2 linked regions of the Mus musculus genome follow. The protein of the gene in region 1 binds, or shares a complex with, the protein of each later gene. Links are inferred from orthologs where the notes say so. Each region holds a gene or a part of one and is shown in the gene's direction. Other genes may lie near its edges.

Region 1 (3,818 bases):
CTCTGAGTTTGAGCCAGATGGCCCAGGTATCGTGGCTTATGCCTGTAGTAGGTAGTAGAAACAAAAGGACCAAGAATTCAAGGGGAGAGCCTTAAGGATGGCTTAGAGGTTATTCTTTCAAAGAACCTGGGTTGGATTCTCAGCACCTATGTGGCATCTGACAACTTTCTGTTAAGTTTAGGTCCAGGGGAGTCCAGTATCCTCTCTGGCCTCATGGGCAAGAAGGCACACACATGGTATACAGACATACAAGTAGGCAAAATACCCATATGCATTCAGGGTTACTGTTGAATACCTAGTATATTGAAAGCCTTCCTAAGTGATTTTATCCCACCTACAGCAGGCACACATGTATCTGAGGATGTGGCTGTTGAATTAGTTGGACTGTACCTCATTTCACAGTGTTTATGGAAGCATCTCATTGTATTCTGTGTCTATCTTAAAGTTTCCTTTGTGTAATTTCAGGTATAATTTAGGTGACTATAGTGGAGAGATCATGTCTGAGGTCATGGCACAGAGACAGCCAGTGAAGCCTACTTATGCCATCCCCATCATCCCGATTACTAACAGCAGCCAGTTCAAACACCAGGATGCCACGGACTCGAAGGAGTTCAAAGTTAACAAGGTGATTAGAGCTCTGTAACAGTAGCATCCAGTAAACAGTGAAAAGAATAAATTGCACTGCAAGGTGTTCTGGAGTTAAGGGGGTTGGGGAGCTTTTCATGACAATTTAATTTCTACTTCTCTTGCTTCCTTACAAGGGAAGGCTTTGTTCTGTGTCTGATAAAAAGAGGGATTTGCTGAAAGGGGATAGGAAATGTTGGTGTGATGAATGGCGTGATTAGAGGCCTGGAAAGAATATGAAGCCCTCCCACCCGATGTAACATTCCGGGACACATCTATGTGTGAGTGACAGGCAGGTCTTGTTAACAGCTGGTGACATGGGCAGAAGTATAAATACTTTGACAAGTTGATACATCATAATTTGTGAAGAATAAAATTGGTGAGGGAGAATAAGAGAGGGCAGGCAGTATGCCCTTTTGATAAATGTGCCTCAGGAGAGAAGTGTTTGATGACCTAACATTTAACTCGGACTTACCATTCCATTTCAATTGAGGAAATCTGCTGATCATTTTGTTATCTAACCTGTTCTGTTTATTTTGTTTCTGTGATTTTTTTTTTTAATTTGGTGTATAATGTACCATATCATTTGGAATGATGGTTTCTGCAGCCTAGACTTTTTTCCTGTCAGAGCACTGACAGAGACTATTTCAGATACGTTGATTTTGAGGTATTGGGATGTTGGACAGATGAATGGAAGTAATCTCTTTGATAATCACAAATGGTGGCTGTTAATCACAGCAGAGGCCACGCCTGGCAGATCTCTGAGTTTGAGACACAGCCTGGTCTACATAGTGAGTTTCTTCAGCCAGGCAAGGCTACTTAGTGAAACGCCTCCACCCCACTACCCCTGTCAAAAACAAGTTAAAGATCACTCTCCAAAATATTTCTTTGCTCATAATTTCTAGTCCTACATATGTATAATTTTTCCTTGTTTTTATATTGAAGTCTTTGTCTACCTGTCTGAAATGTATGACTTTATATATCACTTAGTCTTACTTTGATTTTCATATTTCAGAACTTAACTCCAATTCTAATTATACAACATTGTATTCATCTGTGTGTTCTAGAAACATGAGCCATGCACTTGGATCTAGTTTACCTTAAATCCTTCTAAATTAAGACAGAATCATTAATGGAATAGTCCTGTTATTTTGAACATTTTCTTATTTAAATTTTCATTCAAATTTTTGTGTTGTCTGGCTGGAGAGATAGGTGAACAGTTAGCAACACATATTGTTCTTGCAGAGAACAATGTTCTTGCTGGGTTGAGTTGCCAGCACCTACGTCAGATGGCATACAACTGCCTACAAGTCTAGTTCCAGGGGATCTGATATTCTCTGCCTTTTGAAGGCACCTGTGCATACACATAAGTCTTGTAAGCAAATGTTTGTTTTGAACAGAGCAAATGTAGATTATTAGGGGAAACTGAGACTGAACCTCTGAGGGTAGGAGGGGCTACCAGGAGGAACACTCAAGCCTGTTTTAATAGTTTAAGCACTTGGCTCCCCAAGTAATAATTAACTCAAGTTGTTACAGAAGTTGCAGTTGTGGAATGTGCTACTGGGTGACTGTCTCATTCATGCCTATGTTGCAGCAAGATAAGGCTGATCTTATCCGGCCGAAGCGCAAATATGAAAAGAAGCCCAAAGTCTTACCCCCATCTGCTGCCGCCCCTCAGCAGCAGAGTCCTGCTGCACTGCCAGGCTTCAGTGCTAAAGACTTAAACCAGTACGACTTCCCCAGCTCAGATGAAGAGCCTCTGTCACAGGTAAACAGAAGACCAGCTATCTGCACACGGAAGAGGAACGTAGGAACTGCATTTTGACCTCTCGTTGCTTTATTTCAAGGTTTTGTCTGGCTCTTCGGAAGCTGAGGAAGAGAATGACCCTGATGGCCCTTTTGCTTTCCGTAGGAAAGCAGGCTGTCAGTACTATGCTGTAAGTGTCAGACTTTCTCTGTAAACAACAAACAGCAGACAGACTGACAAGATACAATAATTTGGATTTTTTTTTTTAGCCTCATTTAGACCAAACTGGCAACTGGCCCTGGACTAGCCCTAAAGATGGAGGCCTGGGGGATGTGCGATATAGATATTGCTTAACTACTCTCACCGTACCCCAGAGGTGTCTTGGATTTGCACGAAGACGGGTCGGACGTGGTGGAAGGTAACACGCTTCTGCTTTCCTCACACCAGCATGCCTTAGACATTGGAGTCAGAGTTTACACTGAGGTCCTCCTTGTGAACAGACTCTAGAAGCTCCAGTTTGCTGTGCTTAGCAGAGCTGTTTACACGTCTCCCACTGCATTACCAACGTCTTCACCCACTTTGTAGTTCTCACGTGACCCATGTGGGTTCTTAACTCCCCAAGCTTCTTAGCACCTGAGTTATCCCAGGGTAGACTCCCAAGAAAGGACAAGTGTAACTTGTATTTACACACTCAGGATTGGTTCAGGAAACTACAACCAAAGTCGCTGAGTTCTGGGGCAAACCTTATATTAACTACTGCAGTGACCACTTAGCTTTGCTGCTCATGGCCTCAGTGTGTCAGAATGTGGTTCTGGGTCTCTGAAATAGAATACTTCATGCATGGAGAGGAGGAGAGAAGGAACTGCAAAGCACAGAAAAAGAACTTTATCCAGCATTGAGATTTGAGGCTAAAAGAACCAAAGCCAACAAGATGACTCAGTGGGAAGGAGCATTTGCCACCAAGGTGACAGCCTGAGTTCTGTCCCCAGGACTCACGTGGTGGAAGGAGAGAATCAACTCTTGGGAATTGTCCTCTGGCTGCTGCATGCATGTGTGCTGTGCTATGTGCCCTATGCCGTGCACGCACAGTGTGAAAGAGTCAAATGCTGCCGTGGTGAACTTGGCAACTTTTAACTATTCAGTGTACTGGTGTTCAGCTTTAGGGGAAAGCGTTCGGAACAGAAAGGAAGAAACTTTGATGTAATCTCTGGTGTCTGCTCCTTGTACAGGGTCGTGCTGGACAGAGCGCATTCAGACTATGACAGTATGTTTCACCACCTGGATTTGGACATGCTTTCCTCACCACAACCTTCTCCAGTCAATCAGTTTGCCAATACCTCAGAACCCAATACCTCGGACAGATCTTCCTCTAAAGACCTCAGTCAGATACTAGTCGATATCAAATCATGTAGATGGCGGCACTTTAGGCCTCGGACACCATCCCTGC
Region 2 (4,270 bases), on another chromosome or scaffold:
GCTGCTTTTGAACAAAGAGCACAAACAGATAAATAGTTTTAGTACAAAATTTAAATTAAACAGGTGTAGACTAAATATATTTAACATTCAAGTAATAAGAAAATGGCTTTAAAAGAAGACAAAAGAGAATACAAGTATGTCATTGTAAATAAAATTGTAACATAAAAATATTGAGTAGTGAATAAAATGTGTCATACTGATTTATTTTCTTTTGTATGAGAAAGGGTCTTCCATAATCTGGGTTGGCTTCTAATTGCCTATGTTGCCAAAGCTCACACTCCTAATCCTCCTGTCTCAATTCTCCCACTTAGGGGATTACAGGTGTGTGGTGTTATAATCCACCAGATAGTCTAAGAAGGGATCATTTTCCCCAAAACACAGAAGCATTTAGTGTACGAATTTTTATGAAAGGCATTTTTAAGATAGAAACGGGGCGGTGATACACTTGTTATACCACCAGTGAACATTTGCTAGGGTTATTAAAAAAGCCTGCCCAGAACTATAAACATTAACCCAGCTACTTACCCAACATAAATTTAAATCATTGTTAGTATATGCCAGCAATGCATTAAATCACTATAATTTATGGTTGGTTGTTATTTATTCATCTATTTATTTACTTTATTGCGGATGCATTTGAACAGTTGTTTTACAATGAACACAAGATACACCGCAAAACATAACTGGCTACTGAATACTATTTTGGGTGTCTTTTAATTTGGGAAATGCACATTCGCTCCAGTCTCACTATAAATTATCTTAACGTTGCAGGGACACCAATCACTTGTCCCATTTATTTATCAGGAGTGAATAATGAAGATAAATTCCAGCAGCGAGTTCTGTTCTAAACAACCTGAATTTTCCGAACTTAGCCGATTATTCTAGCGTTTGGAATCTTTGCTATTTGCCTAGCACAGCCAGAAATCCATGACTCACAAACGGCGGGCTTAGAATCACCGCCCAGAACAGGTGAAAAGTTGTTCCTAGTTGTGTCAGGCAGGCGCATACAACTCCCGTCATCCCCCATGTAAGAAATCAACAAATAAACAGAGGCACCGCATTTCGGATTCTGGCGTGCCCGTTTCGCGCAGGCGTGTGGTTTCTGTAGTTGCCACTCCAAGAGACACCCTCACTAATGGCCACGCTCGGGGAAAAAGAAGACTACATTTCCCAGAATACCGCGGAGATCCGCACCGGCCGGTTGACGTCATCGCTGCAGACAGCCAATAGCAACGGCGGGCGGCAGTGAGGCAAGCGCCGTCAGGCGCCAAAGTGGAGCCTTTTTTTTTTTCCTTTGCTTTTTTTTTTTTTTTTTTCCTTTGCCGGAGTCGAGCGGGTGCTGCTAGCGGAGGCGCCATATTGGAAGGGACAAAACTCCGGCGACAGCGAGTGACACAAATAAACCCCTGGACCCGTTCGTCCCCGCAACAGTCAGGGCCGCGATGTTGTACCTAGAGGACTATTTGGAAAGTGAGTGCGCGGCGCCGGCGACGCGGCGGGCGGGATCGGCGGCGGGCGGGAGCGCGAGTGGCCGGGCGGGCGGGATGGCGGGAGGGAGGGGGAGCGGGGGATGTTTCTTTCTCACGGTAACTGGCAGCCTCGTTGTGAGCCGCCCCCCCTCCCGTACGCACGCACGCACGCACGCACACACGCGTGACGCCAGCGCGTCCCTTCGCCGTTGGCCCCGCCCTCTGACGGACTGTGCCTTTGACAGTGATTGAGCAGCTTCCGATGGACCTACGGGACCGCTTCACGGAGATGCGCGAGATGGATCTGCAGGTGCAGAGTAAGTGGCGCGTCTCCACGGCCCCGCGCAGCCCCGGCCTCCCTCGGGCATCGCCTGGCGGGTCCTCCGCGCTACTTTTTTCAGGCTGTGACAAGGAGGCGGCGGGCACACCGTACCGTTAACACGCGGGGCACAGCAAACACAGTTGTTTGTGTACTGCATGGAGATGACGACACTGCACCGCAGTGGAAACTCGCGTGATTTTCAGAAGGTTTGCACCCGAGCCTGGATGTGGAAACTTGGAGTTCTGCATTCAGACTTAAAAGTTCATTACATTCCGAATTTCTCCAGAGCAAAGACATAGAAGGGCAGGCTAGGGACCCTAGTGAACTCGGAAGGCCGAACTTTGACAAGTTGCATATTAATGGAAGACACTTAGAGCTGTGAACAGCGTGGACACTTTCTCAGCCAGAAATGAGTGAGAGAGATCAGATTTTAAGGAAATCACCCGCTTGCTCTTTAGAAAACTGTAGACGTTTGATAGGCTTCCCTACTGGTTTCTTGTTTTGTAAACACAACCACGTCATTCAGGCTGGTCTCACACTCAATATGTATAATAATCCTAGGCTTGCTCTAATCTCCTCATCTTCCTGCTTCTGTCTGCCTAGTGCTTGGCTTTTCAGGCATTGCTAGCATTGATTTTTTTTTCTGTCAGTGCTTGGCAGCTTTATATGTGACTTATTTCCAAAATGAACCTTGTTCTTTTGAAAAAGCCAGACTGGAAGAGGCTCAAAGGTAACTTGAGTTTGCTAAGGGCTTGTTCTCTTCATTCATGAGCCTCTGCCGCCCCTGCCCCTCATTTCTGTACCTTTTGTCCCTGACTGTACTTTTCTCATCTCAGTCTCTGGGTCATCTCTTGGGGTGCATTGCCCAATAGCCTCTCATAAATCTGTGACTGGAATAGGTGTGCTTTTTCTCTTTGACTTTAAGGTAGTTGCAGTAGTAAACACCTGCCGAAGCACATTCCAGAGGGATTGAGTAGAGTTTGGTGGCAGACAGATTTGGGTTCACTCTTGGACAGGACGACTAGGACAACTCCAGCCTTGCTGCCTGGGGGGCTTGTTTGCTTTTTTTTTTTTTTTTTAAAAACTGACAGTCTTCTGAGGATTTAAACTAATACAGATAATTAGGATGTATAATGCCCATTACAAATAGGTTTAGAATAAAGGATAATTTAAAACATTGTCAATCATTCAATTTTTTTAAAATTCTGGGATAGTTTGGATTTAATCTATTCATATGACAGTGCTTTCAAGTTTACTTACTTTGTAATCCTGGAGTTTTCGGAAACAAAGTGAGTAGGCATTAAAAGTATCAGCATGTCTAAGGTCAGCAAGTAGCTGAAAGTAAATTGTGTTTTAAAAATGAAGATTAACTAGAGCATCTCAGCATCTTTTGTAAAAAGCCATCCTGCTCTGAAGTTGCTTAAATGATAAATATAGTGGGCAATTTTTTCTCCATTTCCATCACAACAAAACCCCTTTTATTTATTTTTTTAGCAGCCATCCACTGAGGTCATTATTTTTGACCTGGGCTTTGGCGAAGCCTTACATAGAGTAAATAGCATGTGTGTTGAGTGAATAAATGGTGAGCAACGGTCACATATATTATCCCTTCCTGTGAGAGGACGTGATGAGGTGCTTGGTGCTATGGAGCAAGTGTTGACTCTGTCATCACTATTTTTATTAAAAGAAGTATGAGACCGTCCCAGGAGTACTGTTAGTAAGCAGCTCTGATTGCCGTAACCAGCTGACTTAATGCCATTAACTTTGATTTCAGTGCGGGTTGTGGCGTAGATCCTTGTCTGTACAATTCACTCTACCTTGATTACTGGAAAATGTTTTGAAATAGCAAAGTCAGTACAGAATATTTCAGCTTTTTAAAAACTAATGTAATGAAGGCACCACTGCTTATAGTACAAAATGTGTATAAGCTAAAACAGAGTTGTCAGATGTCTTTTTTTTTTCCTCAAATCAAAGCAGTTTGGTCGGCTAAGTATGAAATGTTTTATTGTGTCAGATGCAATGGATCAACTAGAACAAAGAGTCAGTGAGTTCTTTATGAATGCAAAGAAGAATAAACCCGAGTGGCGAGAAGAACAGATGGCATCCATCAAAAAAGTAAGTGTGATGCCTTGGATAATTGGCAGTCACATTGGGACCCTCTAGGAGAGATAGTAACATTACGTAGATACCTGGATATGGAGTGAGGGCACTTATGAGGGACTTGGGGGCACTTGGTATATTCTAGACCAGCAGTTCAACTCAAGGGGCAGATGACCTTTTCACAGGGTCACCAAAAGCCATCGGAAAACACATTACGATTCAGAAATAATCTCATGGCCGAGGCTCACCACAGCATGAGGACCTTTGTTAAAGGGTCACAATATTGGGAAGGTAGAGAAGCACTGGTTTAGAGCTTCCTGTAATTCTTGCTGAAGTTTATTTTAGCTAGTGCTGCGGGCCTTAAGGCTGTCCTGCAGAT

What was found.
Region 2: Epc1 (region 1) and Ing3 share a complex: the UniProt entries of both Homo sapiens proteins name them as parts of the nuA4 histone acetyltransferase complex. The link is inferred for Mus musculus from reciprocal best matches to the Homo sapiens genes EPC1 and ING3.

The regions. Positions count from the first base shown.
Region 1 is NC_000084.6:6,449,040-6,452,857, reverse strand, and holds part of Epc1 (enhancer of polycomb homolog 1), read left to right. Parts: intron 1-465; coding exon 466-625; intron 626-2,218; coding exon 2,219-2,392; intron 2,393-2,471; coding exon 2,472-2,561; intron 2,562-2,640; coding exon 2,641-2,789; intron 2,790-3,600; coding exon 3,601-3,818. UniProt on the Homo sapiens protein: Component of the NuA4 histone acetyltransferase (HAT) complex, a multiprotein complex involved in transcriptional activation of select genes principally by acetylation of nucleosomal histones H4 and H2A.
Region 2 is NC_000072.6:21,948,324-21,952,593, forward strand, and holds the start of Ing3 (inhibitor of growth protein 3), read left to right. Parts: upstream 1-1,291; 5' UTR 1,292-1,442; coding exon 1,443-1,470; intron 1,471-1,714; coding exon 1,715-1,786; exon of another isoform or gene 1,787-1,997; intron 1,998-3,805; coding exon 3,806-3,906; intron 3,907-4,270. UniProt on the Homo sapiens protein: Component of the NuA4 histone acetyltransferase (HAT) complex which is involved in transcriptional activation of select genes principally by acetylation of nucleosomal histones H4 and H2A.